7 linked regions of the Ovis aries genome follow. The protein of the gene in region 7 interacts with the protein of the main gene of each other region in a pairwise test. Links are inferred from orthologs where the notes say so. Each region holds a gene or a part of one and is shown on either strand. Other genes may lie near its edges.

Evidence for each region.
Region 1: the proteins of GRN (region 7) and OTX1 interact in binary tests that used the Homo sapiens proteins (3 or more experiments, as listed by UniProt). The two-hybrid records come from large-scale screens. The link is inferred for Ovis aries from reciprocal best matches to the Homo sapiens genes GRN and OTX1.
Region 2: the proteins of GRN (region 7) and C17H22orf39 interact in binary tests that used the Homo sapiens proteins (3 or more experiments, as listed by UniProt). The link is inferred for Ovis aries from reciprocal best matches to the Homo sapiens genes GRN and C22orf39.
Region 3: the proteins of GRN (region 7) and FAM131C interact in binary tests that used the Homo sapiens proteins (3 or more experiments, as listed by UniProt). The link is inferred for Ovis aries from reciprocal best matches to the Homo sapiens genes GRN and FAM131C.
Region 4: the proteins of GRN (region 7) and NLK interact in binary tests that used the Homo sapiens proteins (3 or more experiments, as listed by UniProt). The two-hybrid records come from large-scale screens. The link is inferred for Ovis aries from reciprocal best matches to the Homo sapiens genes GRN and NLK.
Region 5: the proteins of GRN (region 7) and GLRX3 interact in binary tests that used the Homo sapiens proteins (3 or more experiments, as listed by UniProt). The link is inferred for Ovis aries from reciprocal best matches to the Homo sapiens genes GRN and GLRX3.
Region 6: the proteins of GRN (region 7) and SMAD9 interact in binary tests that used the Homo sapiens proteins (3 or more experiments, as listed by UniProt). The link is inferred for Ovis aries from reciprocal best matches to the Homo sapiens genes GRN and SMAD9.

The regions. Positions count from the first base shown.
Region 1 is NC_056056.1:45,201,323-45,205,991, forward strand, and holds the start of OTX1 (homeobox protein OTX1), read right to left. Parts: upstream 2,989-4,669; 5' UTR 2,880-2,988; intron 2,193-2,879; exon of another isoform or gene 2,114-2,192; intron 1,753-2,113; 5' UTR 1,684-1,752; intron 130-1,683; 5' UTR 19-129; coding exon 1-18. UniProt on the Homo sapiens protein: Probably plays a role in the development of the brain and the sense organs. Can bind to the BCD target sequence (BTS): 5'-TCTAATCCC-3'.
Region 2 is NC_056070.1:72,728,242-72,732,763, forward strand, and holds C17H22orf39 (UPF0545 protein C22orf39 homolog), read right to left. Parts: upstream 3,054-4,522; 5' UTR 3,040-3,053; coding exon 3,016-3,039; intron 2,913-3,015; coding exon 2,745-2,912; intron 1,992-2,744; coding exon 1,866-1,991; 3' UTR 464-1,865; downstream 1-463. UniProt on the Homo sapiens protein: Negatively regulates long-term potentiation and modulates adult synaptic plasticity. Stabilizes the interaction of RTN4 isoform A/Nogo-A with its receptors, inhibiting clustering of postsynaptic AMPA receptors at synaptic sites.
Region 3 is NC_056055.1:249,708,842-249,713,468, forward strand, and holds the start of FAM131C (protein FAM131C), read left to right. Parts: upstream 1-1,736; 5' UTR 1,737-1,852; coding exon 1,853-1,874; intron 1,875-4,627.
Region 4 is NC_056064.1:19,697,377-19,701,248, reverse strand, and holds part of NLK (serine/threonine-protein kinase NLK), read right to left. Parts: intron 715-3,872; coding exon 505-714; intron 1-504. UniProt on the Homo sapiens protein: Serine/threonine-protein kinase that regulates a number of transcription factors with key roles in cell fate determination. Positive effector of the non-canonical Wnt signaling pathway, acting downstream of WNT5A, MAP3K7/TAK1 and HIPK2.
Region 5 is NC_056075.1:48,924,352-48,928,223, reverse strand, and holds part of GLRX3 (glutaredoxin-3), read right to left. Parts: intron 3,569-3,872; coding exon 3,516-3,568; intron 1,030-3,515; coding exon 990-1,029; intron 883-989; coding exon 790-882; intron 1-789. UniProt on the Homo sapiens protein: Together with BOLA2, acts as a cytosolic iron-sulfur (Fe-S) cluster assembly factor that facilitates [2Fe-2S] cluster insertion into a subset of cytosolic proteins.
Region 6 is NC_056063.1:25,018,331-25,022,805, reverse strand, and holds the start of SMAD9 (mothers against decapentaplegic homolog 9), read right to left. Parts: upstream 2,931-4,475; 5' UTR 2,817-2,930; intron 1-2,816. UniProt on the Homo sapiens protein: Transcriptional modulator activated by BMP (bone morphogenetic proteins) type 1 receptor kinase. SMAD9 is a receptor-regulated SMAD (R-SMAD).
Region 7 is NC_056064.1:43,892,285-43,894,947, reverse strand, and holds the end of GRN (progranulin), read right to left. Parts: intron 2,404-2,663; coding exon 2,306-2,403; intron 2,215-2,305; coding exon 1,969-2,214; intron 1,733-1,968; coding exon 1,499-1,732; intron 1,397-1,498; coding exon 1,166-1,396; intron 1,076-1,165; coding exon 938-1,075; 3' UTR 605-937; downstream 1-604. UniProt on the Homo sapiens protein: Secreted protein that acts as a key regulator of lysosomal function and as a growth factor involved in inflammation, wound healing and cell proliferation. Regulates protein trafficking to lysosomes, and also the activity of lysosomal enzymes.

The sequences.
Region 1 (4,669 bases), on a different chromosome or scaffold from region 7:
TTTGAGGTAAGACATCATGCTAACAGCTGGGTGGAGGCGCCCCGACGGATCCAGGGGGCCGGGGGCCAGGCGCAGTGCGGGGCTCCCACTGCGCAGTCCTTCAAGCTCTGTTGCGTCTGGGGGCCCGGCCTATGGAGACAAATGACACACCGAAACTGTCATTCCAAGCCACCACTGCTTCCTGGTCTTGCCGGAGGAAGGAGTCACAGGATGGGGAGGTGACGCAGGCTATGGATCTGTGCAGAACTCGGCTCTATAAGGCCTTAGCCCGAAGACCACAGATTCTTTGAAAAGTAAAATTTCTGGATCATTATCACTTCTTTTCGGGCTTGGAATGGGACAGACACTCGTAGGGCGACGCTAGGAGTGAGGAGAGGTTAAAATCGGGGGCAACCTTGGGAGGTCAGAGCCCAAAACGCAGAGTGCGCTAGGTCCCAAGACTAGGCAAAAATCTGTTCGGGTGGGAGAGGGCATCACACCACACAAGCAAACATCCCCTCGACCTCAAGGCAGCAGGAGACCCAGAGCATGAGGGGTTGTTTCGTTTTGTTTCAAATGTTTTTGAAAGTGGAACGGACAGGTAGACTCCAGAGAGCCAAGGTGAGGCACAGCGGAGGGCTCGCGGCACCTGGGCCTCTCCGGGACGCATTGCTCACTGAGTACATCCTTCCAGAGTCTCCGCGGCTGGGTCCCACAGCCGCTCTACCAGTTTACCTCTCTGTGCCTGGCCGCTGAGAGATTGCTTACCCGGAATCCCACCCACACTTCTACCACCGATTCGAGCCCAGGTCCGGCCGAGGCGACCAGAAGGCGCCACCGTACAGGTGGCGGTTCAAACACGCCGCCCGGGATCACCCGCACCTCGCCACAGCCGCAGGCCGTGCTTCCCCAGAGCAAGCCAGTCCTGGCTGCGGACAATGGGGTCCCGGCCGGGGTCGAAAGGTGACCTGACCAGCGCCCCAAGGGTCTGGCGGATTTGGGAAGCCTCAGTGCAATAGGTCTGGTGCGCTTCCGGATTATTCTACTAGCTGAACCAGAGCCCGAGGACCCGATCCAGACTAGAGAACTAGGCCTCTGCGGCGTAGTTCGCGCTGCCCCGGGCAGGAAGGTCGACGCCTGGCTTCCCCAGGTTGCCCCCCAAACGGAGGTGCTACAATCAGGAGTCAGGAAGTAGCGCTGGAAGAGTGGGACGGAGACCCCAGAGGACCTGTCGCTTTAGCCCGCTTCACAGGAACTTAAAGCAGACCTGGGACCCGGGCTAGAAGAGTTCAGGGAAAGAAAGAAGTTAGAGCTAGAGAAGTCTCCCGCTTCTCTCCCCAGGGACCCACGGCCTGGGCCGGGAAAACTCGGTTTGCAGGGAAGGCGACAAAAGGGAAAGAGCCGGGGCCAAGGGAGAATGGGACTCAGCTGTGGCGACTCTGCTAGACTGCAATGGTGAGTTTTCAAAGACTTTCTTCAAACTTAGCACTTTAGCTGGGTTACTTCGGAGGAGGCGGGGGAGGGGTGCGGGGCCGCCGCGGAGCTCCGGGGTCCTCCGCTCAGCAAGAGGGGAGCCAGGTGGCTTCCCAGCCCCGCCCCCCACATGCCAGGGACCGGGGAAGCGGGGACCCATTTGAGGGGGGCGGGGGGCAAGAGCCACGACGCGTTCCCAGAGTCCCGGGCGGCCAGCGGCTTTCTCCTTACCTGCCCTCAGCTGCCGGGGCCGCTCACCATCTACCTCTCGCCCTCACACAGACCCTCTGGACGGCCAACCTGCAAAACAGAGCGGCACAGGAATTACCGCGGGCCCGGGCGGGGGGTCAGGGAGCCGCGGGATTTCTTTCTTTCCCCAACTTCCCTCCTCCCTTTCTCTTTCTTTCTAGTGGCTTTGTGCGTGTCCTTCCAGGTTTCACTTTATTGCACAGACACTTTGTTTGCAAAGCCCCACACGCTCCCGACACAGTGCCTCACCCGGGACCGCACCGAGGGGGCCGCAAGGAGAAGGTGGGGGTAAGAGGGGCAGAGCTGGGAGGTGGCTCGAGGTTGCCGTGGCACTCCGTGCAGCGTGGAGGCGGTGGGGGCTGGGGAAGTCCTGCAGAGGCACTTTGCAAACTAAATAAATCAAGCGAGTTACCTTGTCGGAGTGGCTTGTCTCGCCGGGTTGTTTAGGTGATTGGAAATGTAGCCTGATGAAGATTGATCACCTTTCTACTGCCCTCCCCGGGTATGTGAACGCGAGGTGAGTGCGTAACGGGGCTAGGCTGCCAATCCCCGGCCCCGCGCGGGCTGAGTGACAGGGAGCCGGGCAATGGCAGCACGAGCCGGGGGTTACCTCCGCGCTCCCCCGCCCTCCCCCGCCCCCTGCACCCCGCCCTCACCGCCCGCCCGCCCCGCCCCGGTCGCGCGCTAACTCCGGGGCTAGACTGGCAAACGCAGCGCAGAGCAAGACGAGCAAGGCGAGCGCCGCGCGGGAGCCCGGGCCGCGGAGGGAAACGCTGGCCCTGAGGTTGCCCCGGGGCTCCCCGCCCTTCTCTCGCCCTTTTGGCGCCCTGGAGGGAGTGGCAGAGAGGAGGCGAGGTGCTGGAGAACCGGTTCCCTCGCTCTCTGGCACGCCACCCGATGGGCGCGAGGAGCCGGGAGCTGCGGGCTGGAGGGGAACCGGCCTCCGGCCCCTCTCCCGACGCCGCGGGCCCCAGAGTCTTCATGCACCGGGCCATCCGCGGGCCCCAGAGTCTTCATGCACCGGGCCATCACCCGCAGACGCACGCGGCGGGCAACTCGTGCTGGTCCGGGCTACTTTGCTGAGAGCGGGAGCAGACCCGAGCGCGCAGATCCCGCCTCGGCGCCTCAGGACTCCAGTGCCCTTGAGCCGCACCCGCAAGGGAGGCACGGCCACTTACCTGCTCTTCGACGTCTCCTGGAGTTTCCAGTCCCCACGATAGGTGTTTGCAAATCCTGAAAGCTTCTTTTGAAATGTCGGCTCCCAGCGTCCCCTCCCCTTTACACATACACTGTACTTCTGAATCAAAAGGTTTGGATAGAAAACTTTGTCTTTCACACTGGCTCCTTTTACTAGGGGACAATCTAGTGGAAAACGTGGCCACAGACTCTGCCCTCAGTTTCCTTCCTTCATGCCGCCGGAGCCTCCTTGAGCGATCTCCCCGGATAGTTCGTACTGGCGAAGCCCATTTCCCAGTCGAACAAACTTCTCAAAACACGTCTACCTGGGTGGACTTTTCAAAGCGCAAAAAAAGTGTTTGCGCCCCAACGCTGAGTAATGCAATTCTTTTAAATGGCACCTCCTCCTGAATATTAGGCCGACTTTACTTACCCCCTTTCGAGGAATTCCTACCGCTTCTTCTTAATCTCCCCCCCGCCCCCTCCCCTCCACCTCAACAGGCGGAGTGAAAAGTTTGAACCAGAGTAAGTGTGAGGGCGAGTCTAGGAGCCGCCGGGCGCTTCGCAGTGGGGAGCACCGGCGCTGCGGGGCCGCGGGGTAGGGCACCGAGAACGCACCGGGCGCGGGGCGAGGAGGTGGCGGAGAAGGACGGGGGAGCCCGCTGAGTGAAAAGGGGCCGCGGCCGCCGCTCATCAAAGTGCTTCCCCTCCCCCAAGCGACACTTTCCTTTGGAGTCCGAATAAAATACGGTAACAGAATATGATGGAGGGCACACTGTTTCCTTAACTGCTTCTCAAAGAACCCGGGAGATCTTCTTAGGACCTTTAATAAGGCTTTGGTCGGTTCTTTTGTTGATCTCTCAAAATCAACTCCTTCTAATTGAAGTTGGAGCTGAAAGCGAGCTAATGTTCAAAGAAAGTGGCCGCCAGACTAACGAAATTACATTTTTTTTTTTTTGACGATGAGGGAACATCTAATCAAAGGGGCAAAAGAGGAGGGGTGTGGGGGGGGAGTATGAAGGAGAAAAGGTTTTACAAGATCCTTCTCTGGTTCACAAAAGTCAGCGACACGGGCGCTTCTCTCCAGAACAAAGACACCGCGGCCCATTCACAAAAGCAAGAGAAAGAGAGAGCGAAAACAATAAAAGAATGAGAGAAAAGGAAAAACACGAACAAGATAAAGCCTTAACAGGAAAAGAAACTGCGCAGAGCGCAGCGCTGACTCGAGTGGGGACACATATTAGGCTCGCGCAGGCCCCCGCGGGGGAATAGTTCGCGAGGCCCTGGGCTCCGAGCCCCCGAGATGCGCAGAGATTTAAAGCTAGAAACGAAATATAGCCCCCGCCTTCGGTTCTGGGGAAAAGCGCTGACTGGAGCGCACTAGTTTGTCGGGAAGAGTTGGCCGGCACGCTGGGCGCACTCCCCTGAGCTTCTGCGCCTCCGCGCCTCTATCCCGGCGCTATCCCGGCCGGGGCCTGCGCGCTGTGTGCCTGAGTTAGCCCTCTCCGGCCTCGGTGCGTGCCGGGTCTCCCAAACCCTCGTCCTCCCGCCTCCTCCCGGCCCCCTTGCGCCTGCAGCGGCGGCGCTGGGCCGAGGTCCGGCAAGGTGGGGCGGCTGTGCGCGCTGGAATGTGCTCTGGCGGTCCCCAGGGCCCTCCACGCGGGAGCCAGGCTCTCTCGGTTCCAGATGCGGCCGCGATCTGGGGGAAGTTGGGAGGTATCAAGTAGCACAATTCCCCCCCCTCCTAATGAGAGTATTTATCTAATCCCAAATTGCAGGCGAATTTTCTTAA
Region 2 (4,522 bases), on a different chromosome or scaffold from region 7:
CAGCTCTGGCCCCTGGGTCAGGAGGAGCTCCTGGAGGAGAGCATGGCAGCCCACGTCAGTGCTCCGACCTGGAGAGCCCCCAAGACAGCAGCGGGCTGCAGTCTCTGGGGTCACAGAGTTGGACACCACTGAAGGGACTCGGCCTGCACAGAGCAGCAGGGGGTAGGCCTCCTCCAGAGGAACTGGGTGGGGGCAGGAAGCAGCCCAGCAGTGAGGGTCCCTGCAGGCAGAGGCCCACCTCAGGGCAGGCATGCCAGGGGCCGTTTCACCTGAGTGAGCACGCAGCTTGTGCACCGGCCTCGTCAGCCTGTGGCTCCTTCTCGGCCTTGCAAGCCTCCAGACTGCTCCTCGGACAGGGCTACACTCAGAGCCTTCCCCACCGCCCCACCCCTCACAGGTGCTTTTCAGGCCTGTAGCTTTCCTCGGTGAGGTTGGATAACCAAGTCAGTAGGTCGTGGCCAACTGTTTTGTCTCAAACTTTTATTTGGAGGTCACGAGAGGCTGACAGGAGGCTGGAGGCTGGCCAGTCTCACCTACACCAGAGAACAACAGCGCTGCCCGAGCGGGGCCCGGCTCCCCGCCGCGCATCCTCGTATCACAGGCTCCCCAGGATGGCGCTCTGACCCTGGCCCCAGAACTGCCAGCGTCCCTGAGACCACGCTGCACCGGGTCACCACCCAAACTGCTCGTCACCATGGCCTCTGTCCCGAGTTTGAAAGACGCTGCCCGTTTCAACCTTCACGGCTGACGCCTGAACGTCCATGTCCGTCCCCTGAACTCAATGGGACGGAGGCGACGTGTCCGTTTTGGGTGTGCGGTCCCAGGGCGTGGACATGCCTGACACAGGCATGTTCCCCTGCACTGGAGGCACGCTCAGCATCCGAGCAGGCGTGGGGCTCCTCATGGTGCCTGCGCCCTGCTGCACGAATCCCGGGAACCAGGGGGTGGCTGCCATTCCCAGCACACAGCCCCCCACGGGGGGTCTCAGACCCGGGAGGACCCAGCCATGCCACCCTCTCCTCGCACAGAAATGCCCGTGGACAGAGCTGCAGCCGCGGCTGATGGGCTCAGCTGTTGCCAGAAGGGGCACCCTGCGCCTTCTTTATGCTCTCCTCTGCTCCGGGGGTCCCGTGCATGCACCCCCACCGCTCATAGCCACAGAGGACTCCTGGGGCACACGGGGGCCCAATAATGAACGTCCTTCTGAGGGGTGGGTTATTCTGCCCCCAAGAACGGGTTCCGTGATGCGGAGCCACGCCTGTGCCCTGGCTGGGGCCCAGGGGGAGGCGCCGAGATGCCGCAGGCTGGGTGAACAGCGCCCAGTGGTGGGTCCGCCGCGCGGCCCCAGAGGCTACACCATTTCAGCAGAAGAAAGAGACCTCTAAAGGAGGGTTCTTGGTTCAAGGGCATGTATTCTAAGAGCATCTACAAAAACGTACAAAATTCTAACCCTGCCTGCATCTAACTTTCAATATGAAAGCCTGGGTGTAATTTGCAGTTTCTATTTGGAATCAAACCTGTGAAATTTCTTCTGATATTATCCACGTTTTCTAAAAACGACTGGGTGAAATTCCGAGGGAAGGAGCAGTGAGTGGCCGTGGCGGGAGAGAACCAAGGTGCGTGGTGGCCACCAGAGCAGGGCCGGTGGGGAGGCCACCTCATTCCCCCCCAAGTGTCCCCACGGGTCAGAGCTGCCCCTGGAGGGTTCGTCTGAGGAGCCTAGCCCTTGGGACAGCCTCCCTGGCTGCCCACAGGGACACTGCATGCTGGGTGGACCGGCTCCAAGCCTGGTGATGACGGCAGGGCAGGCGAGGCTGGAGGCAAGGGCGGAAGCTCCCAGGGGCCCTCTGGACTGTTTGGGTCGGTCACCCGTCCTTGTCCTCAGGCAGAGGGAGGTGCCAGTCTTCTGGGGGGCTCTGCCTGGGCGCCCACACCAGGCCATGCTTCCGTGCAGCCCGAACTCTGGCCCGCTCGCTTTCACACAGGGACCGCTGCAAAGGAGACCGGGTCACGGGCAGCCCTCTGAGATCAAAAGGCATGCATTTGACATTTAGGCAATCAAAACACCCCACATTCCACTAGCACTGCCCAGGTGCTCACTCTCCAAACCCCAGTGATGTTCCGCTGGGCAGAAACCACTCACCGTCATTTTAAATGTGTATCAGGCCATCTGACGTCCTTTCAGGGTGAATCCCTTCTCTATGCCTTTTGTCCACTTCACTGTGAAATCCATTTCTCATACTGATATATAAGAGCTATCTTGACAATCTGTGTATCAGTTATTGATTTCTTGCCACACAGACCCGCCAACTTTCTCTTCCACTGCTCAGGGACTGGGCATTTACACTCGCCAGTCCTGCTGGCACACCCCAAGAGCTCTGCACCCTCACAGCTCCGCTCCACCCTTTGCCCCATCAGCTCCAGGGCACCACTGTATGCCAGACTAGGATGTAGGAGTCAGGAGGGCAGAGATCGGGTTCTAACCTCTCCTGTACGTCCAAGAGCGTCCAGGGGGAAGCGTCTGCTGAACGGATGGACCAAGGGCCCCTCCTGACTGGACTCCCGTGACTGCACCACGCCCTCTCCCAGCCTGGCTGCCAGACTGGCCTTTGAATGATACCAATCAAAGCACACGCGGAGGGCTGGGCCCGAAGCCCCCGTTCCAGGCCCGCCCCCCGCGCCCGGCGCCTCTGGTTCCCGGCCTTCCGGGGCTCGGCGGGCCGGCTCGGGTCACCTGGCCTCACCTGGGCTTCGGCGCTGCGGCGCTGCTCCCACTCGCGGCAGCTGGCCAGGTCGCGCCGCCACTGCCCGCAGGCCGGCCGCTCGCCGTGGACGTAGTAGTGGCGCAGGAAGTGCCCGGCGCTGCGGCAGAGCTCCCACTCCGCGCGGTAGGCCTCGCACGGGCGCGGCGGCTGCGGGGGCGGGCACGGGGGCGTGAGCGGGGACCAGGGGCCCGCCCGCCCGCTCCGACCGGCGGACTCGGCTCCCCGGGCCCCCAGCGCCCACGGAGCTTACCCGCCAGCCTTCACCTTCCGCCATGTTCCGGAACCGCCGGGCCCGCCTCCTGAGGCCGCCGCCGCCGCGTGACTGACGGGCAGAGGGACCAATGAGCGCCGAGGCTTTGCCAGTAGCTCCTCGCCCACCTCCTTGAGATGCGCCAGTGAACGGGACATCCGGGCTGGCAGCCAATAACAGCCTGGGGGCGGGGCCCGACACTCGAGGGGGGCGGGGCCGAGCCCGGCGTGGGCGGGGCAGTCTCTGCCCGCGGCTTTCTCTTCGTCGCCTCGCAGTTCCGGTCGCTGAAATAGATCAGCGCCCCCGGGCTCCAGCGCCGCGCGGTCAAGCCTGCGGCTGCGGCTGTCCCGCCCGTGTCCCCTCCCGAGGGCGTGCAGGCAGGAAGCGGGGCGGAGTGGGGCGGAGGCCGTGCGGCCCGGGGAGCCAGCCGGCCCTGCGGGTGGGCGTCCCGAGGCGGCGTCGGGGGTGAGGCTGTGCTGAGGCGGGGGCCGGGGAACCAGGCGCGTCCGTGAAGGGCGCGCACGAGGCAATGACAGCGACGGCAAGGAGGCTGACGGCGCCTCAGGACTAGCCTGCGACCCCTCCGCGGTGCTCCTCCGCCTCCCCCAGCCTAGCCACCGCCAGTTACCCGCCGGGTGAGTCTGCGTCAGGGCGGAGAGCTGCAGTCTCACCAAGGCGTCCTGCCGTGGTGGTTCACAGGCCAGGCTGCCCACCAAAGAGGGCGTCTGCGTCTGCCAGCGAGCCGAGACCCCTGGAGGGTCCGGCAGGTCACAGCCTGCTCAAGACTTCCGAAACCACTTGCATTGCCTGGGTGTGGCTTTGGGTCACAGGGCCCAACCCTGATTATCACGATGAACTCTAATGCTCCTTCTCTGAGGACACGTGGGTGAACCCTGGGACCACTCTCCCGCGGGGGACAGTCTCCTGAGAGTTGAGGGAAGCCTGTGGAGATGGGCCTCTTTGCCTGGAGCAGAGGCAAGGGGGGCCCCTGCTGGGCCCAGGGTCGGAGAAGCCCGCAGAGGACCTTTCCAGCAGGTGTCAGCCGCATGCTGGTACCTAATCAGACGCGTAGAGGCAATTCAGGTTTTGGTCACTGCCTGTTTTTCATTTGAAATTCATAATCGAAAATTATTTTCAAGGAACAAGAGATTCAAATAATTGAACTGACATGTCAAAGGAGCTCTTATTATATAAAGTGGAGACCTGAAATTAAATTAACACTAATTTTTAAAAAAAAAGGCCAGCAGAACTTTGGAAAATTTAATACATTTAAAACTGGGAGTGGGAGGTAGGGAGAACATATCTTCAGGTTTCATTTATTTTAACACTTACATTTGTGCTTCATCACGAAGCTCTTTTTACAAAACAGACTAAAGAACCAGTTCTGTCCAAATTAAATCAAAGTAAACGCAGAAGTCAAGAAATACCTGGAGTAACAGGCAAACTTGGCCTCGGAATACAGAATGAAGCAGGGCAAAGGCTAATAGAGTTTTGCCAAGAGGACGCA
Region 3 (4,627 bases), on a different chromosome or scaffold from region 7:
CTAGAGCAGGCTTGGTGGGGAGGGGCTGGGGGTTTGAGGCGGGCAGGGCATGGCGGCCTGGAGCAGCCCAGTCCGAGGGCTGCGCTGCGCTCCAGGACCAGCGTGTCTGTCATGGGCATGCTGGCACCTCCTAGGCGCTTTGCATGCGGCCGCTGAACGGAGTGTCCTCAGCATTCCCGCTGCGTGAGGAAATGCCGCACACCTGCGTTCACCATCACTGCTATTTTTAGCTCTAAGCACCTACTACGGCTCAGTCACTTTGCACAGATTATCTCACGGATCCTTACAGCTATCCCGTGAGAGGCTCAGAGAAGGGAAGCAACTTGTTCCAGGTTGCACAGCGGGTGTGAGCTGAGCCCACGTTCTCACCAGCGGTGGACACCCCTGGCCGGGGTCTCTCCCCACCAGGACTTTTCTCCGGAGAAGGCGCCAGGCCTGAGGAAAGAAGGGGCAGCAGCGCCCACCCCAGCAGCCCACCCCACACCGGCAGCCACCAGGCCTGGATCCTGCCCGGCTGGAGGCCCCAAGCCCCACCACACGGCCACCCCAGCCGCCTTCATCCGTCAGCACCCTGCTGGGCGGGCACCAGGGAACCTGGCTTGCTTACTTGTAAAAGGGGCACCGTGCCATCCAGCCTGCCTGGCACACACGGAGGTGTCAGGATGGAGCGAGGCGGAAGGAGGCGAAAGTGAGCGCTCGGTGCCTGAGGGCTGTGCTGGGCCGCTGGCTGGGGCGCTGGGGTGTCTGAGCACGACGGCGTGTGAATGCAGGTGTGTGTGAATGCGAGTGCGTGTGAATGCGGGTGTGAATGCGACTGCGTGTGAATGCGGGTGTGAATGCGAGTGCGTGTGAATGCGGGTGTGTGTGAATGCGAGTGCGTGTGAATGCGGGTGTGTGTGAATGTGTGTGTGAATGCGGGTGCGTGTGAATGTGTGTGTGAATGCGGGTGCGTGTGAATGTGAGTGTGTGTGAATGGGGTGCGTGTGAATGTGCGTGTGAATGCGGGTGTGAATGCGAGTGTGTGTGAATGCGACTGCGCGTGAATGCGAGTGTGTGTGAATGCGGGTGTGTGTGAATGCGAGTGTGTGTGAATGCGAGTGTGTGTGAATGCGGGTGTGTGTGAATGTGTGTGTGAATGCGGGTGTGTGTGAATGCGAGTGTGTGTGAATGCGGGTGTGTGTGAATGCGAGTGTGTGTGAATGTGGGTGTGTGCGGTGGTGAGCGTGTGGGTGAAGCATATGTTCACACGTGCAACTGTGCGTACGTGCACTCACGGGTGGGCATGTGAGAGGGTGAGTGTGAGTGATTAGAGGGGCCCCGGTCACCCGCCCTCAGGCGCCCGAGGGGACCGCAGGCCCTGACCCTGACCTACCTACCGGCTCACCGTCCCCACCGGCTACATCCCCGGCCCTGGCCCATCGACCCCCAGTGGGGGGCTGACGGGCTCGCAGGAGCCCTGGGCAAGGCCCGTGACCCCTCCGTTTCTTCCCTGCAAAGCGGTTCACCGCCGGCCGTGCGCTGCGCCCGGCTGGCCGGATGCTGGAGCCCCCCCGCCCCCGCCGCCCGTCCCTGCCCTTCGCCCCGCGCCGCGGGGTCCCCGCCGCCAGCTTCGCCTCCGCGCTCAGCGCCGCCCCCGCCGCGCGGCCACAGGTGCGCGGGCCGCCGGGGCTCGGCCCCCCCGCGCTGACCGCGGCGAGGCGGTGCCAGGCTAGCGGGCGGCGCGAGCCGGACGCCCGGGCGGCGGCGGGAGCCGCGGGCCCGAGCCCTCCCCGCTCGTCCGCGCCGGCGCCGCGCGTGGGCCCCGCGCCCGCGGAGACATGAGCGCCCGGCGGCCCGGCCCCGTGGCCGCGTGATGGGCTCCTGCGTGTCGCGAGGTGAGGGGGCCCGGGCCGTGCCGGGGGAAGGGGCCCCGCGCCGGGTCGCGCGCAGTCCCTCGGCCGCTCCGAGGAGCCTGGGCGGGGGCGGGGGGACCCACCCGCCCTTCCCGGCGGCTGCACCCCACCGGCGCCCTGGGAGACGCGGGGCCCCGCCTGCATCTGCACCCCAGCAGGCGGCGGGAGCCGGGTCTCTCCCTTCCCGGCGGCCGCACACCCCTGCCTGGGGCGGGGGACACGGAGCGTCTGGCGCCCCCGGCCTCTCCGGAGTGACTCGGGGCACTCGCGGCGCAAGCCGACCCTCGTTCCCACGACCCCCCCCCCCCGCCCGAGACACAGGGCCCACCGCTGTCCGCGTACCCCACTCCCTGTCTTCAGACTGAACACCCGCGGCAGGCGTTAGCGGGAGGAACAGGGTCTAAAGAAGACCCCGGCCCCTCCTGCCGGCGCCTCACCCCGCCAGCCTGGTGCGGGGACAGGCGGGGACAGGCGGCCGGCCCGGGAAGCCGCGGCCTGTGTCTCCGCCCGGCTCTCTGCTGCCTGCTGGTGCCTGACCCCTGGCTGTCCCCGGGGTGGAGCAGGGAGCCCCGGGAGCCGCTCTGGGGGGCGGTGGGGTGGGCAGGGAAGGGGTGGGCAGGTGTTGGAGGCTGCGCCGGGTCCCTTCACCCCGCAGCGGGAGCAGCAGGGCTGAGGTGAGGGCGGACAGACCCTGGCTCCCACTCTGCGGTATGAAGCCAAACCCACTGACCCCAGGCACAGCCTTGGGGGGCCACCGCCGCATCCTGCACCCCAGCCCTTCCTCAGGTGTGGAGGGGTAACCAGGCCTGGGTAGGGGCTAGGCAGGCTCCAGGGGACCCGCCCTGGGAGATGAGGGTTGGGGGGGGGGGTAAAGGGCTCTGCCTGGGGGCTCTGCTCACCAGGCCCCCAGGGTTCAGGTAAGTGGCTCAGGATGTCTCAGGAGGGTGGGATCGTGCGTGGGGGCTGGGCTGTGTGAGGTTCTTTCATTCATTCATGAAGCTGACGTCAGCCTGACCCCTACTGTGTGCCAGCCACTGTGTACACACTGCGTGCCTAGAGCCGGTGAGCCCAGCATAGGGTCTGCTCTGGGCCTCCAGCCTGGCCAGAGGGGAAGGTACTATGTAGAGTGGAGAGTACCTAAGTTTCTTTAGAGCCAGCAGGCTCTTGGTGTGTCTGCAGAAGCCCGGAAGGCTGTGCAGGCCCCTGGTATTGGGGTCCCGGGGTCCCCTTTCCTTTGGCCCTCCTGCGCACCCGGCCGTCCTGTGCCAGGCGCCAGAGGCCCGGCCCCAGGAGACTTGCCCGTTAGCCACAGACCAGGGCGGTGCTGTCAGGGCTGGGGCAGGGGCTCGGGTCCTCTGACGCCCCCGTAGCTGGTGGACCCTCTGCCGTGCCCTCTGGGGGCACCCGGAGGTCTGCGCCCTTCCTGCTGTGGTTTGGGCTCCTCGTTGTATATCCTGACCTTGTGCCCTCCTGACGGGGTCTGCCCACTCCCAGTGCCAACATGCCCGCAGGCAAGTTGGATGCAGGTACAGGAAGCGTGAGCTCCCCTTGAGCCGAGGACACCCATCGTCCCATTGCTCTGGCTCGGGGGGTCTGAACCCCTGAGTGGAGGCCACCTGCCCCCCTAGCTGTCCCTGCTCCTCCCAGAGTGCGCGCGGCTCACCAGGGGCTGGTGGGAACGTTCCAGGCTCCACTCGCCAGTCTGGGGTCTGTACTAGCACAGCCCGCATTTTACAGGCAGGGAAACAGTCTGGGGCTGCGTGGTTAAGAAAGAGCAGAAGCGAGCCTTGGACGCGGTCATGCTGGCTTCGGCACCCGTGCCCTTGTTCTCTGTGCCACACAGCCGGCCGTTGGACCCAGGGCTGGCCTGGCCTGCTCCTTCCAGCCCCCGGCCTCTGGATTCCAAGAGCCTCTGAGTCTCCACGTGCTGAGTCACTCAGTCGTGTCTGACTCTGTGCAACCCTATGGGCTGTAGCCCTCCAGGCTCCTCTGTCCACGGGATTCTCCAGGCACGAACACTGGAGTGAGCAGCCATGCCCTCCTCCAACCCAGGAATTGAACCTGCGTCTCTTAATGTCTCCTGCATTGGCAGGCGGGCTCTTTACCACTGGCGCCACCTGGGACGCCCGGGAGCCTCCACAGCAGCCCCCGCACTCCACGTGCCAAACTTGCAGCCCGAAGCCGGGCGAAGCCGCATCCTTCTGCTGCCCACAGCCACCCAGGGCCTGCAGGCGACTGCAGCCGCCCAGCCAAAGCCCAGGCTTCGGGCCACAGCTGGGAGAGCCACCCCACCCAGCCCTGGGCAGCAGTTAGCCCCCTCGAGCCAGCCCTGAGAGGGTAGGAGTGCGAACTCTGGAGCCGGCCGGCCTGCTCTGCCCCCGCGGCAAGTTACTTAACCCTGTGCATGTATCTCAGTGTTCTCATCTCTAAAATGGGAATGGCACTTCCATGGATGTCTTAGGGGTACTGGAAGTGAAAGTGATAGTCGCTCCGTCGTGTCCAGCTCTTTGCGACCTCATGGACTGTAGCCCGCCAGGCTCTCCAGTCTATGGAATTCTCCAGGCAAGAACACTGGAGTGGGTTGCCATTCCCTTCTCCAGTGACCTTCCCAACCCAGGGATCGAACCCAGGTCTCCTGCATTACAGGAGGCTTCTTTACCAGCTGAACCACCAGGGATACTAGGAGGGGATTAAATGACTTCCTATAGAGCACTCAGACCACTACCTGGCATGTA
Region 4 (3,872 bases), about 24 Mb from region 7:
CAGACAGTTAAAGTACCACAAATGGTTTCCAACATTTTAATCAGCTTCTGATATTCTCTGCCATATTTAAATAATTTAGTCCAATAAAGGTTGGAAAGGGTTCTAAATGTTCACATTTAAAGAAGTCAACACTCAAAATTTATATTCTAAGCACAAAGTGTAAGTACATTAAGTCACCAAATACATTTTCAAGTCAGATCCATTCAGTTAGAAAGAACAGAGGCTCTTGAACCACTGAAGATTACACCTGTGCAAACTGTTACAGCGGAGTCTGCTGCCATGCATCAGTGCGTGTAATAAAGCCAACATTCCCTCTAATAGGCTCGTAAGCTGCAAAATCAATCTCTCTGTAATCTTCCTAACTTTTTGAATTTTAAGAGAACTTGAATTTGCTAAAAGCAATGTAGACAGTACAGTGAATAAGCCCAAGGTGTGCACAAGATGGTCTTTCCTTTAAATCTGTAATAGAATGGAAAGTTCCTAAAGCCTAGAGTGAAATCATACCTGCTGAATGGGACTCTGTGCCTGAAACAGTATTCTTCGTCCTAGTAGTTCTGCAAAGATACATCCGACAGACCAGATGTCAATAGCATTGCTGTAATGGCGGCTGCCCATCAGGATTTCTGGAGCCCGATAATACTGAGTAACAACTTCCTGAGTCATATGACGGGATTCATCTAATTCTTCCACTCTGGCCAATCCAAAATCACAAATCTAAACAGAAGAGATTATCAAAATGTTGTCAAATAGACAAATATATTTACAAGTGGAATAGTAGAACAAAATAATAAAAAACTAAAACCTTGACAGACCTCTGAACTTTGCAAAGTTTTCAATGATACAGGTGGAGTACATTGTGTCAGTATATTTTGATATTATTTGGATGAGAGGGAAGAAAGTCTCAAACTTCCTTATTTCTATACAGAATTATCTTAAAGACAAGCTTTTCACTTTCATTTGTTTTTAACTGGTAATTAATGAAACAAACAAAAAGCAGTTGAATGTATACTTTTAGGTTTAATGAAGAAACCAAGCTAATTTATTTTCAAGGCTGCTTATGGAGGAAGATATTATAAGGGAAGAAAACGACCTCCTGAGCTAACTATGTTCACTATTTTTTTGTTTGTTTTTGGCTGCACTGCATGGCTCGTGGGATCTTTGCTCCCTGATCAGAGATGAACCCCAGGCCTTGGCAGTGAAGCCATCAAGCCCCAGCCACTTACACCACCAGGGAATTCCCATATGTTCACTATCTTTATGGAATATACACAGTAAAATTTCTTCAAAGCTATGGGTTTCAGAGTCCTGCTGAATCCTGAGGTACTTCAGGAGTTCCATGAACATTTTACCTAAATTTCATATGAATCTATAAATATTTAAAATATTAATCCACATTCCAATATGTGAATTTGTCAAAAAGTAGCACACTGTAGAATACTAATGCTAACAGGTCCCTTCAATTCTTCATGCCATAAACATTTAATTAACTGAATGCCTATTATATTTTACGCAGTATGCTAGAACATGACGGTAAATGAGAAAGACTGGTTAATTCACCTACAAACCTAGGAATGAATCTTATGCTTTCTGTTTATTTTTGGCTGTGCTGGGTCTCTGCTGCATCACACAGGCTTTTTTCTCTCCTCTAGTTATAGCTCATGGGCTTGGTTCCCCTGCAGCACGTGGTATCTTAGTTCCGGGACCAGGGACCAGGGATCGAAGCCATGCCTGCATTGGCAGGCAGATTCTTAACCACTGGACCACCAGCGAAGTCTTGCCCTTTCTGTTTAAGTGAAAAGTTTTTGGAGGCTGCAAGGTGAGCTGTTAGTAAACGGCAGCAGTGCCACCACCAGCAAATTTTGCTTATTTTCAGGAATTGAGGCTTTCTTGATACTAGGCAACCAAAACAGAAACTGGGAGCACTGAGGAACAGATAAGAGAGGAATGACCATCTAAGCTCCAGTGTTCTCACTGATTAAGTCTGAGTCAATATTATTAATATAACTGACAAAATAATACTTATCTGCCTTCTAAGTTGAGGTCCTAACATATTTTATTTGAAAAAAGGATCTCGTAGCTTAAAAAAGCAATGGAAAACTACTGCTTTAAAGAAAACATATTTTACCCCTAATTTTTGGCAATCTTATCTTTTTATCTTGAATCTACTATGTCTGGTCACATCAAATGAATGCATGTCTGTATGTGGGGACAAATCAGAATGAAACCAACATCTTTGAAACTTAAAATGAAAGTACATTTTCCGACCACACAGAAAAACTATACCAAAAAGGAAAACAGGCATATGTTGTTTATCAAATCCTCCCAAAGACCAGTGTTCAAATAACACATAATATTTTAAAACTCTATTACTTGACCAAAAATTTTTAGGCTATCTTTTAAAACAAAACAAAGAAAACTAAAAATCCACTTTATTTCTCTGGTATTAAACCAAAAGAAAACACCACCTTAACCAACAGAAAATGTTTTCTCTTATAAAGCAGGCCTTTTGTTTAAAAAAAAAAAAAAAAAAAAGATCTGGATTCATTTTTTGGCAATTTATCTGGAAGACACGCTAAATCCAAAGTAAGAAGCTTACATGATCAGGTAACTAAAGATATTGCAATTTCCAGCAAAATTATCTGCTTTGTGCCTAACAGTAAACAAAATGATTTTTAAAAATGTTTTGTCATAATTATTTTCTACAAATTTTTACATTTGAGAAGAGAGAATTAGCATCAGTAGATTGGCAATCTACTCTGGCTTTTAAAAGTAGGCTGCTAAGACAAGTTAAAGGAGCAGAGCAAAATTTCAATTTGTTCTGATCTGTATGTTGTTTATTCATAAATGACATTTTCTTTGTTACTCTCTCATGTAGGTGGAGGTTACAATACCATGAAAGACAATTTAGAAAATGGACTGCAAGTAGTTAACGGCATCAAGCATGACAGGCTCTACACAAATGCTTTGTGAAGTTTTCCAACCAGAAACTGAAATAAGCAGAAACTGGTTTAAACTGTCATATAAGTGACTTGGTCTGCATAAGTCAAAGAATTTCTGACTCTAAGGTTTTTGATTATTTTTAAAAAAGAATTAAAATGGGTTATGGAGATAAGCTCTGAAGATGTTTATCACACTGTGTTTTAATAGCTTGCCACTACTCTATTTATTTATTTTTGGCTGTGCGGGGACTTCGTTGCTGTGTGGGCTTTTCTCTAGTTGAGGTGACCAGGGGCTACTCTCTAGCTGTGGTGCATGGGTTTCATTACGTTGGTTTCTCTTGTTGCAGAGCACGGGCTCTAGGGTGTGTGGGGTTTAGCAGTTGCGGCACATGGGCTCAGAAGTTGTGGCTCCGGGGCTCTAGAGTATAGGCTCAACAGTTGTGGCATACGGTCTGAGTTGCTCCATCGCACGTGGGATCTTCCCAGAGCAGGGATCAAACCCGTGTCTTCTGCATTGGCAGGTGGATTCTTTACCACTGAGCCACCCGGGAAGCCTGATCACAACTCTTTTTATTTATTTATTTTTTAATTAATTTATTGGGCTGTAGTCGGTCTTAGCTGTGGCAAATGGAATCTAGTTTCCTGACTACAGATTGAACCTGGGCCCCCTGCACTGAAAGTTCAGTCTTAGCCACTGGACCACCAGGGAAGTCTCACAGTGAAAAGCAGTGAACTCAATGACCTATAAAAGGAAAATTTACTTTGGTAGTTTTTACTTAATGGTTTTTGGGACAATTAATTATCTGTGGAAACAAAAAGAATTAAGTATAATATTAGATGTTTTCAAGGAAAATATGAAAAATAGGTGTTTTTAATCTTTCTAGACTTAAAACAGGATCAGAGTTCTTTACATATAGAGTGAAGGGAGTTTTT
Region 5 (3,872 bases), on a different chromosome or scaffold from region 7:
CATCATCAAACACATAGAAAAACAGAATCCTTGAAATACAGTGACAACCTGACAGAGGTCTCAGTTTCCGAGCATCTGAGACCAGTCGGGGACCTGGAGATGACCTCATGCAATCCTGAGGTCAGTGACCTCAGGCCTCAGTGGCACAGCTAGCAGGGCCAGGCCAGCACTGTGTCCCAGGCCCCCAGCCCTTAGCCTGGCACTCTTTACTCCATCACCGAGTACATGCGAGTAAGGCAACTGAAATGACACCAGAAAGTAATAAAATTATAGTAATATAAATGTAACATGGCAGGAGAACTTCAGAAGCAGATGCAAAACAAATATTTCTGGATGAAAAAACCTAAGATTCACAGACAAGAGGAGCCTGAAGGATACAGAAAGCATATTTAAATACGGACTGTGCAAGGAAATTCAAAGTAGAGACAGGGTGGAAAGAAGCTAAAACATGGAAGAACTTAGTGCCGTGTGAGTGAAGCAGGGGTGGAGCCTGGCCACGCCCAGAGCTGCTCTGAGTGCTGAGTCTCTCTGGGGACCCTGGCTGGCAGCTCCTCAGAACCAGAGCAAAGGACCTAGTGGGCAGGAGAGGCCATACAGAGGGGCTGATTCTGACTGGCTCCGGTGAGAGATAAGAGACAAGATATTCTTGTTGGAGAGATGGTAGCTCTGGGCTGGAGCGATCAGACACGAGGCCAGAAAAGGACACCAAGGACAAGTCCAGTGAAACAATAGTTTTCATCCACGCTCAGGCTTTCATTCCTCCAGGCTCCCAGTGATTCCTGACCTCACCTTAACGATGTCCAGTCCTCCGACAAGCTCCCCCTTCACATACAGCTGAGGGTACGTCGGCCAATTGGAGTAAGCTTTTAATCCTTGCCGAACCTACGGAAACAACAGGAACCCTGAAATCATCCTATCAGATTAGAATAAATGACAATCCTAATGGTTAAAACTAAGACAAAAGACAAAACCTAAAACACAGAACTTACTTCTTCATCCTCCAATATATCAAATGTCTCATATTCAATCCTACAAAAAAGAGAAAACATTTTGACAAGAAATACAGTTTTAGACAAAAATTATAAACTCTATTTGGTGTTTCAGAAACAGTCAAGAAAAGTAAAACTATTTCGATGCTAACAAAATTTGGGGAAAAACAAATTATTTTACTTCTTTATCTGTCTTGTACTTGACAGAATAAGTCATCCCAAAATAGAAATTTTTCTGGATTTTCTGCTTCGGGAGCAAGAGGGGGCAGCCTTGCGGCACCCAGGGATGGAGGCTGCGAGCTCACCAGCGGGGGGCACGCCCTCAGGCAGCTCCCCCGCTGGGAATGAGCCTCCCACAGAGCACGCAGAGCACGTGTGCTTTCCCCACGACGCCTGCAGCCAGCGCGAGGGCTGTGGCTGCATGCCGTGTCATGAGGCTGCTAGTATAAATGAGTGAAAATTCAACCACATCTACGCAGGAGGATTTTATTACAAGGTGGTCAAGGAACGAGTAAGCATGTGTGACTGGATCCCTGCAGGAAGACTGTGAGCGCATGTGCAATTTCAAACCCTGGCCAAAGAAAATGCCACGTATGAAAAAACGAATTTCGTTTTCCATAAAACCAAAGCCATTTTCATAGGGAAATCCTGTTTACTTAATACACAAGCTAAGGTAAGTCACTTCAGTCGTGTCCGAATCTGTGCGACCCCATAGATGGCAGCCCACCAGGGTCCCCCATCCCTGGGATTGTCCAGGAAAGAATACTGGACTGGGTTGCCATTTCCTTCTCCAGTGCATGAAAGTGAAAAGTGAAAGTGAAGTCGCTCAGTCGTGCCCGACTCTTAGCGACCCCATGGACTGCAGCCTACCAGGCTCCTCCATCCATGGGATTTTCCAGGCAAGAGTGCTGGAGTGGGGTGCCACTGCCTTCTCCAACTTAATACACAAGTTCCAAAGAAAACAGTCCATGATGCAAGAAAGAGTCAAAAAAAAGAACTTGACAGGATAAATCAGCAACAAGTATCAAGAATGTAACGTCTGAAAGAAGAGCAAAAAAGATTAAAAAAAGAAAAACAGAACCACACAGTATAAGTCTCCCTTCAAGTTGAACTAAAGAGGCAGATCTCCTAATTGACACAATATGAAAAAAAACACTGAGTTCTGGAACTGCCCCTGATACAAGGGATCCAAGAAGTGCTGGGCCTACATGTTCACAGGTGTGGCGAGTCACAGCTGCCAGAACACCTCCTGAAGTTCCCTGAAAGGGCGCCTCCCACGCCCCAAGGCACATGGGGGTGCTCAGCCCCTCGGGGCAGATGTCTTTCCTCAGAAGGGACAGACAAGAGCAAGGATGGAGGAAAGGAACAGAGCGCTAGAAGCGCCCCCCACATTCCAACAGCTCCAGCAGGACCACAGTCCTCCACGTCAACAGACCCTGGAAGGGTTCAGCCAGCCTGGAGTCGGGAAGGTACTCCGTCCCAAAGAAGCTCCCTGCTCTGGGGGAACTGGTGCTTCCAATCCAATCCAGCTTAGACAGACATGGGACAGAAAGTAAGTGATGGAGACTTTCCACCAAATACTTAGGCTGTAATGGGCCCAGAACTGTCCCATCCTGGTCTCAGAACCCCAGGGGACTAGCTGGCACTAAGGACAGGTGGCCTGAGGGTGACTCACAGGAGATGTGGCAAAGGGAAGAAAGTGACCAGAGCCGCGCCAGCCTCGACTGCAGCCCAAGGCAGCGTGAGGATGGGGCAGCTGGAGGCCGGAGCACAACAGCGACCAGTCTCTCCTCTGTGAAGCATCACAGTCACTTGAACAGAATGGCTGTTCTTCTTTTGTCCCGAAAGCTGCATTTGGGGCTGTGTTACTCCGCCCAGCCCAAGAATGCCCACACACTTCAAAGGTGACTTTTCCTGTCACGTCATAGGAGTCTATCTAAAGCTACAGTTAGAATCCTTACAATACGGAAAAGAGGCAGGTGAGAATAAGGAAGAAAAATAAGCAAAAACATTGGGCAACACAGAACATGTGCTAAGTATCTCTAAATAGGCGGTTTGACCACAATTCCAGTCTTCTTACCTGGCAGCTTCGTCACTGAGATCAAAAGCATGAGCCCCACAATCTGATTTACCCACCTCTCAGACTCAGATAACGGATCTTCCTGTGCTTCCTGTTTCACAAACTATTTGGAAGCTAGAATATTTTTTTAAGAAAATTAAAAATCTATAATACACTTTCCCTAAAATATCTTTATGCATGCTAAGAACTCAGTTATTAGTTTTCCTCTGGGAAAGTAGACAAATAGTTATCTCAATGTCTGCCAAAATACCTCCTTTATGTTACCAATAGGTTGACATTGGTCAAAAAAATTCTACTGTGGTCTACGTTAAAGCATTCATAAAATGCTACAGCAAAAATAAATAGATAAAAATACATGAACAGATATAACAACTGAGAAGAATCAATGTCAGAACAGAAAAGTTAGAATTTCTTAAATACATTCTCTGAAAACAAGATTTACTTACCCAGTACTATTTAGTATTTCCAAAATCTGTCTGCTGAAGCCACACTTAGCTTCCTAATTTAGGGAAAAAACACAAACTTCAGAATGCACTGCATACCGACACAGCCCTGGGCGCGGCCCTGCCTGAGGCTCTGCCGGGGGATGGCACTGCAGAAGAGGGCCGGCCCCCAGGGCCTCCTCGTCGCCCCTTCAAGAAGGACCCATCCAGACGTCCCCCCAGGCGCGCGGCCCCCAGCCTGACTTGGGCTTGTCACCCCCGGAGAGGACTGTGTTCCGACACTGTCACCTCGTGATCAAAAACCTCCCGAGTCAAACCCTGCCACCGCCGCCGCCGCTCCACTTCACGCAGACCCACAGC
Region 6 (4,475 bases), on a different chromosome or scaffold from region 7:
GTTTATATCCAAAAGATATTTATTTTTTCCTTGTTGTTATGCCCCTACTCTTGTCATGAACAGTTCACCAGGTCAATGTTCTAACGTGCTCATACTATTAAATTCACTCACAAATTTAGTTTGCCTTTTTCCCCCTTTTAGAATAACTTTTCAACTCACTGGCAACAGTAACCAAGGAAATATAAATCCAACAGCTTAGAATTACAACTATTTGAAGAGACTCATGCTTTCAATGTACTGTTAAACATTTATAGTTTCATTCCAGACTATTCCCCGCTTCTGAATTTCTCACTAAATGTTAGACGTGATGGGCAGAAAATCTGCACTATGCCTCGTCAGAGCTTTAAAATTCAAGGTAGTATGTTTTCCAAATTTAAGAAAAACCACTTCTTCATTTTCGTTAACTTTTAGCTTTCCTTGTATCGGAGTACATTTTGTGTATAAATATTATTTCCAACATACTTAAGCCAAACATGATGAAATTGCTGTTTTATTTATTGCAGAGGGGATGTCAGATATAAACTAGTTAGTTGCCTAAGTACCATGGTGATCACTTATTAAATACCAACTCTTCAAGTACGGCAAAGGATATTGTGCTCTCATTGAAAAGAATGAAACTGTTTGTAAAACTGAAATTGACTATTTTAATCTTTATGAAATAGTTTCTGGACAGATTTTTTCCCTCCAACTGACCACATGATTAGAAAGGATAAACAGATTTACCAGTTGTTTATTACTTCTAGAATCCTTAGCAATGTTTCATTAACAACAAAAACCTTTCTGTCTCATCCCATGGTCTTGGGCAATCAGAGAGTAGTAGTTGGCATTTATGAATATTTTCTGATTACTCATTAAGTGGAAATATATTAAAAAAGAAGAAAATTTTAAAAGAAGCAAAGTCAAATAGCTCATGCTGACTTTAATAACTAACAAAGATGTGAGAATTGCAAAATGTTTAGAAGTTTAGCCTAAAATTTGTTTGTATCTTTGATTTTTAGCAAACACTGTACTGATAAAAATGAGTTTGCTCAGATCAAGGGTATGTTGGCATTCTCTTAAAACATAGCTTGAAACCACAGAGCCCAAGCAAAAAAACAGCTCTGACAAAGACGGCCAGTCAAGCATAAAAATGGGAGTTGGTTGTGTCAGAATAGATTAACAGGCTGAAGGCTGTCCGCTAAAGACAGTTGTCTTGCCATCAATGAAGGCAATCATTACCACTAAAAGTTACTTTTCTGATATGTTATTTGCAACTTCTATCATAATATATTTTAAACGCTCCTTATTTATAAATGATTACATCATTTTCTTATCTGCAGCGTCCTTCTTGGATAACCACAACTTGAAAGCGGTCCAAAATCTTGCTCATGGTTTCCTACAAACATACGAGCACTTACTAAATTGAACTGTCTATCTGGAGTTAGGGGAATGTGTTTGGGTTTTACTTTTACTTCCTTTTTAAATATAGATCACTATTTCTACAATGTAAACATCCAATGGCATTCCCTCACAGCGACAGGAATCCCAAGGCAGAAGATACGCTGTAGGATTAATTTATCACTCACCCAGAAGGGTGCCTCAAATGCCTGGGTCAGTTATGGCCAAGGAGCTAGCATTATTAAGTGCCTTATGACTTTACAGCTATCCTCTATCATTCCTGTTCAGCAACGCTTCCAAAAGATCATCAGAGAAATCTGGCAAGCCACTGAAAATGGTACTTGTAAACTGGATCCGTTCAAAGCCATCCACAGTGACCTGTGGGTGTGTATCCGACTGTGACTGGGTAAAGAATTTACGTGCAATTTCATTCCCAAACTCGATTTTACCTCATTTGTAGGTTATTTCTCACGAGTACCCAGTTCCCGCCCAGAAACAAGTCAACAGAGTATTTCTAAACCATCATTTCAAATTTCCAGTGTCAAGGGTGGGAGGAGGAAGGAATAGTAACGGGAAGACTTGTCAGCGATTAGCCATCCATAAAAACGCACCCCCCTCTTTCCCAGCACAATGCTGGCGTCACTTCGTCTCCTGTATCTGTTCCCCATCTCGCCCCCCTCCCCTCTGCGGAGACTTGGCACCGAATGGCAGGCGAAGGAAAAAGACAAACACCCCGGCTCCCAACACAATCCAAGCGTTAGCCTAGAGACACTTGAACAACATTCCTAACTTTTTTTTTCCTGCTCATTTCGCCTGCCTCAAAGGTAAGCAGAGTAAAAACGGTATGAGGCAGGGGGCCAGGGAAGGCCAGCTGAGTCACATTCGCTGCCCTGCATGCACCCCGATTTCTCCAGTGTCCTCCCCAAGCCCTCCGGCCACAGCAAACGGTTACTCAGCTGCGAGTCTGGGTCTCCACCGAGCCTGTCCTCGGTGCGGACCCAGCCCCGGGCCGGGGGCGGGAAGGGGTGTCGGGGACGGACGGCTAGCGCGCACCCCTGCCCCCTCGCCGGGCCACAGCCCCGCACGCCGGCGGGCCGAGCCTTCGCTGACAGGTCCCAGGTGCCGGCTGCCCGCGCGGCCGTCTCCCCGGAGCCGTCCCCTCCCGCTCCACCTCAGACAGGCCCCACCAAGGAGGTACAGGGACGGGGAGCACAAAGAGCCCCGGCCACACGCCAGACCCTTCCCTGTGGAAGAAAAACTTCGCTGCACACGCGTCCAGACACGCACACGCCCGGCGCGCGCCGGGGAGGGCATCTCTTACCTGTCCCCGCGCTGCTACTCATCGCCCCCCCCCCCCAATCCACCCACCCATGGAGGTCTGGCCGCCCCCCGCCCCGAGGTGGGTCCCCCGGCCGCCCGCTCGGAGCGGCTGCACTCACTGCCTGACTGCGCGCGCCCAGCGCCTGCAGGGCCCGGCGGCGGCGGCGGCGGGGACCGAGACAGCGGCTGCAGCGGCGGCGGCGGCGGCGGCCCCAGCCGGCGTCAGTCAGACTGGAGCCGCGAAGCCTCATCGCCCGTATTAGTGCGCCGACCTGGAAAGCCGCCAGGAGTCCTGCTCGCGGGTCCGCCCCCGCCCGCCGCCGCCGCGCGCCCGGAGCCGCTCGGGGAGCCCGCCAGGAGGGGGGAGCGCGGCCCGCCCCGCGGCCACGTGCGCGGAAGCCCGCGGCGGGGGCGCCTCGGGGACGCCCGGGCGCGGGGTCTCCCGGGCCCCCGGGCGGCGTCCGGGTCCTCCCGTGAGACCCGACTCCCCTCGTCCGCGGCTCGGCCCCCTCGGCTGGGCGGCGGGGGCACCTCGCGTCTCTCTCCCCGAACGTCCTGCCTCTCCACCTAGAGCCCGAGGCCGGAGGACCGTTTCCAGAACTCGAGGTGTGGAACCGACAAATCGGTTTGGAAACCGCCACCCCCAACAAGTGGCTCTTCCCGACGTGTTTCTGAGTCCCGAGGGTGGCTGTTCCTTGCTGTTTGTCTCTTACTTGCTTTGCAAGAGTAAAGGGGGTCATTACCCCCAACCGACAGCGCCAGAGTAACTGGTTTGCCCCTGCATAAGCGGATGAAAATCGACTCACTCAAGAGTGGTGAGTGGTGGTTAAAACTAGGCATGTAATTTTGTGGGTTGTCGTTTCCTTACCCGTATTTATTTGCTTAACAGCCTAGCCTATAATATATACTGTTATCTAATCTAATAAAGGTACAACCTTTGGGCACTGAGCAACGTTAATGGGTTAATGGACAACCTTCCTTGCTCACGGCCCGGCTATCCCCCCTGGATAGCCTGTCTTTGGAGGTCGCTCTGGGCCCCTCGAACCCGCTCAGAACATGTGTAAGAAATGCCACCAGCTTACTGATGGCCTTTGACCCCCATCAGCCAGCGGTTCTTCATAGAAAAGGCATTTACTGCAGGGATGAAAGAATACTAGAAAAGAAAAGAGAATAAAGCCACAAGGGACAGCATTCAGTTTGCTCCTGTATGTAGGAAAATCAGTCCTCCAGAAGGTCCTGGTAACCTGTGAAGCACAAGGCCGTGGATTGAACTGCCTTTTCTTGTCCTCAGAGCACTGCCCTTTCTTCCTGTGGCAGATGCCATGCTTGCATTATCACACTGTTGTCCACTGAGCAACGACCCTGTGTAAAACAGCATTTGTGTTAACACTTGAATCATCTTTATACACCTGTGCTCCAGGCTAGGTGTTAAGTTTGAGATTGCTCTGGGTGTGAAAGTCCAGGAAACCTTTGGACTGCTACCAATCGCACTTCCTGGGCATTTTATTGCAGGTAAAATAATTAGATCCTCAGAACTGATACCCTGTAGCTTGTGTTTTTTTTTTAATGTTGTTAAGAAATGACCCAGCCACTGTTTCCTTCCCTTAGGTGCATTAGACAATGCAGAGGACTCAAGGCAGAGCAAGAAATGATAACCTCTGCAGTGCTGGCTCTGGCTTCCAGCAGTCTTTATAGGTTCTCTGAGTTCTCTGTGCTCTTGGCAGGCCTTGCTTCTGCAGATTCTTTGAGTGTGTGTAGTCTGTGTTTTCTGTATATTC
Region 7 (2,663 bases):
CCCCTCCGCCCGGGCCCGCCCCCAGGGTGCGCGCTCCGGGGGGCCGCGGGGGCCCTCGCCCTTAGCCCCCAGCCCCGCCTGGAAAGGGGCCCGGGGCCCTGCGGAGCTGTCCGGTGGTATGTGCTGGGTAATGTCTTGGGAGGGACCCGTGTCTGCCTCCGAGAGGGAGGTGAGGGAGGGGGGACCAGAACCTCGATGGGAGGTGCTGGGGAGGAGGGCAGGGTGGGGGGAAGCAGTGCCTGTATAAACGTGGCTGTACATAGAAAGCTCTATCGTGGGAAAGCAGGAGGGGCAACGAGGCCTCAGCTGCTAGCCTGAGGGCCGGGAAGGGAGGGGGCGTTCTAGCGGACCCCTGGGAGGGTAGGGGGTGCTGCTTGCTGACTAGCCCACCTCTGGGCTGCGATGTCACAGGGCTGGAGGCTGGGGCGGCTCCGGGGACTAGGGAGTAATGTGATGGGATCACTGTGGGCAACAGCAAATATAAAACTGGTGAGATGAGCTGCTGTGTGTCTTTCTGTGGGGGTTGGGGAATGTGGCCACTGGATGGGGACCCTGGCTCAGGGGCCCCTGGGGAGGGCAGGCAGAGTGGCCAAATCAGACACTGTTAAGAAAGTGTACAAACTTTATTGCAGCACACATACGCACGCGCTCACACACACACGCACACACACCTGTGGATAGGAAGAGCACCTGGCCACAGGGTTGACAGAAATTGGGGGAGGGGATGGCAGCTTGAAACGTGGCTTTTGCCACAGCCCCCCTCACCTTGGCATAGGGGAGGCCTTAGATTGAGGCCCCACCTCCCAGGGTGATGGGGGACTCAGAAGGGGGTCTGGGAGAATGTGGTGGGGGAGAGGTGCTGGGGAGGCCTGAGCAGTGGGGACCCTCTGAGCAGGGTCCTGAGGGCCGCCAAGTGTCTTCAGTCCTCAGGCCCTCCTCACAGCAGCTGTCTTGGTGTCGGGTCCCTCCAAGGAGCGTCCCAGCGCAGGGCCTCCCGATGGAAGCACTTGGTCCCCTTGGCTCCGCAGCGGAAGCCACTGGGACAGCAGTGACGCCTGTCCCCACAACAGGTGCCCTTGATGGTCAGAGTAGGGGGCGAGAGTTGGACGTGGCAGGACCTGGCCCAGGCCTTTACCCAGCCCCTGGGTTGGGGGGTGGCACTGACCTGGCGGTAGGGGCAGCAGGCCCAGCCCCCTTGGCTGTCTGGGCAGCAGGTCTGGTTATCGTGGCAGAAGTGCCCCGCCCCACATTCCACGTTCCCCGCGCCCACAAGAGGGCCGCTGGCCAGGCGGAGGGCAGGGTGTGCAGGGTCCACCTCCTTCTCACAGGATCGGGCCTTCACATTGCAGGTATAGCCAGCCGGGCAGCAGTGCTGGCGGTCCTCACAGCACACGGCCTATGGAACACAAAAGGGCCTCGCACTCTCACCCCCACTAACGTCCCCTCCCACCTGAGACGGGGCCCCGCCCTGACCAGGACTGGGCAGGTGGGTACTCACGTGTGGCAACTGACAGCAGGCCCAGGCCCCCCTCAGACTCGGGCAGCAGGTCTGCCCCACCGGGCAGCTGGTGTGCTGGTCACAGCCCATGTCTCTGGGGTGGGACGGGGAGGCCCTGCGGGCAGGCACCTTGTCCAGTCCGGTCACCACCTGCTTCCCCCTCTTACAGTGCCCTCCAGCCACACACGCATAGCCCTTCGGGCAGCAGTGCTGGTGGTCCAAGCAGCAGACAGCCTGGGGAGGTGGCAGAAAAGGGTGGTTTAGGCAGCTACTCTGGGCCAGAGCGCTGAGCCCCTGCAGCCCCCAGCCTGCCTCTCCTGCTCGGCTCCTCGAGCTGGGCATGACTGTGACTGAGCTGGGGTCCCCCGTGGGCTGGGCAGAAGGCAGAAGAGCAAGGCAACAGGAGCCTGGCCATGTGCCCAGGCCAGGACACTGCCCCCCTCCCCTAAATCATCCTCCTCCCCAGGCACCTCTGGGGCAGGACAGCAGCCCCACTCCCCAGACGTGAGTCGACAGCAGGTAGTGGAGGAAGGACAGCTGGTGACGTTATCACAGGGGACATCCCCCTCCACGGCTCCGGGGTCCGGCAGGCTGACGTGGGCTGGGGCTTTCTCCATCCACGGCACCCGGCGGGTCCCCTGTTGACACACACCCTTCTCTGTGTCACACCTAAACCCGGACGGGCAGCAGTGCACGTGGTCCTCACAGCACACGGCCTAGGGTGGCGGGAGAGGGGACAGTGGGCCTGAGGGGACTGGCTGGCGGCTGCCCTCTGCTCAGCGCAGTCCACTCCCCATTCCTCGGTACCTGCACAAAAGGGCAGCAGCCCCAGGCCCCGGACTGTAGGCGGCAGCAAGTGTAGTCGTCTGGGCAGCTCACCTCCATGTCGCACTTGACATCCTGCACTGTGAGACAGGTGAGGCAGTGGGTCAGCAGTGGCACTGGGGACCCTCAGGGGTGCCCTCCCTCTGCCAGCTCCACAGCGAGAACCAGATACGTAGGAGGGAAGGTATGGCTCAGGCCACCCCTGGCAGTGATCCTAAGGCAAGGCCCAGTGTGGACGGAAGGGGACTGTCCCTGCTTCAGTCCCTCCAGGCATGCGGCCGTCTGTCCCCAGCCCCATATCTGTTCACTCCTCATGGTGTAGGTAGAATGGGGTTTGAGG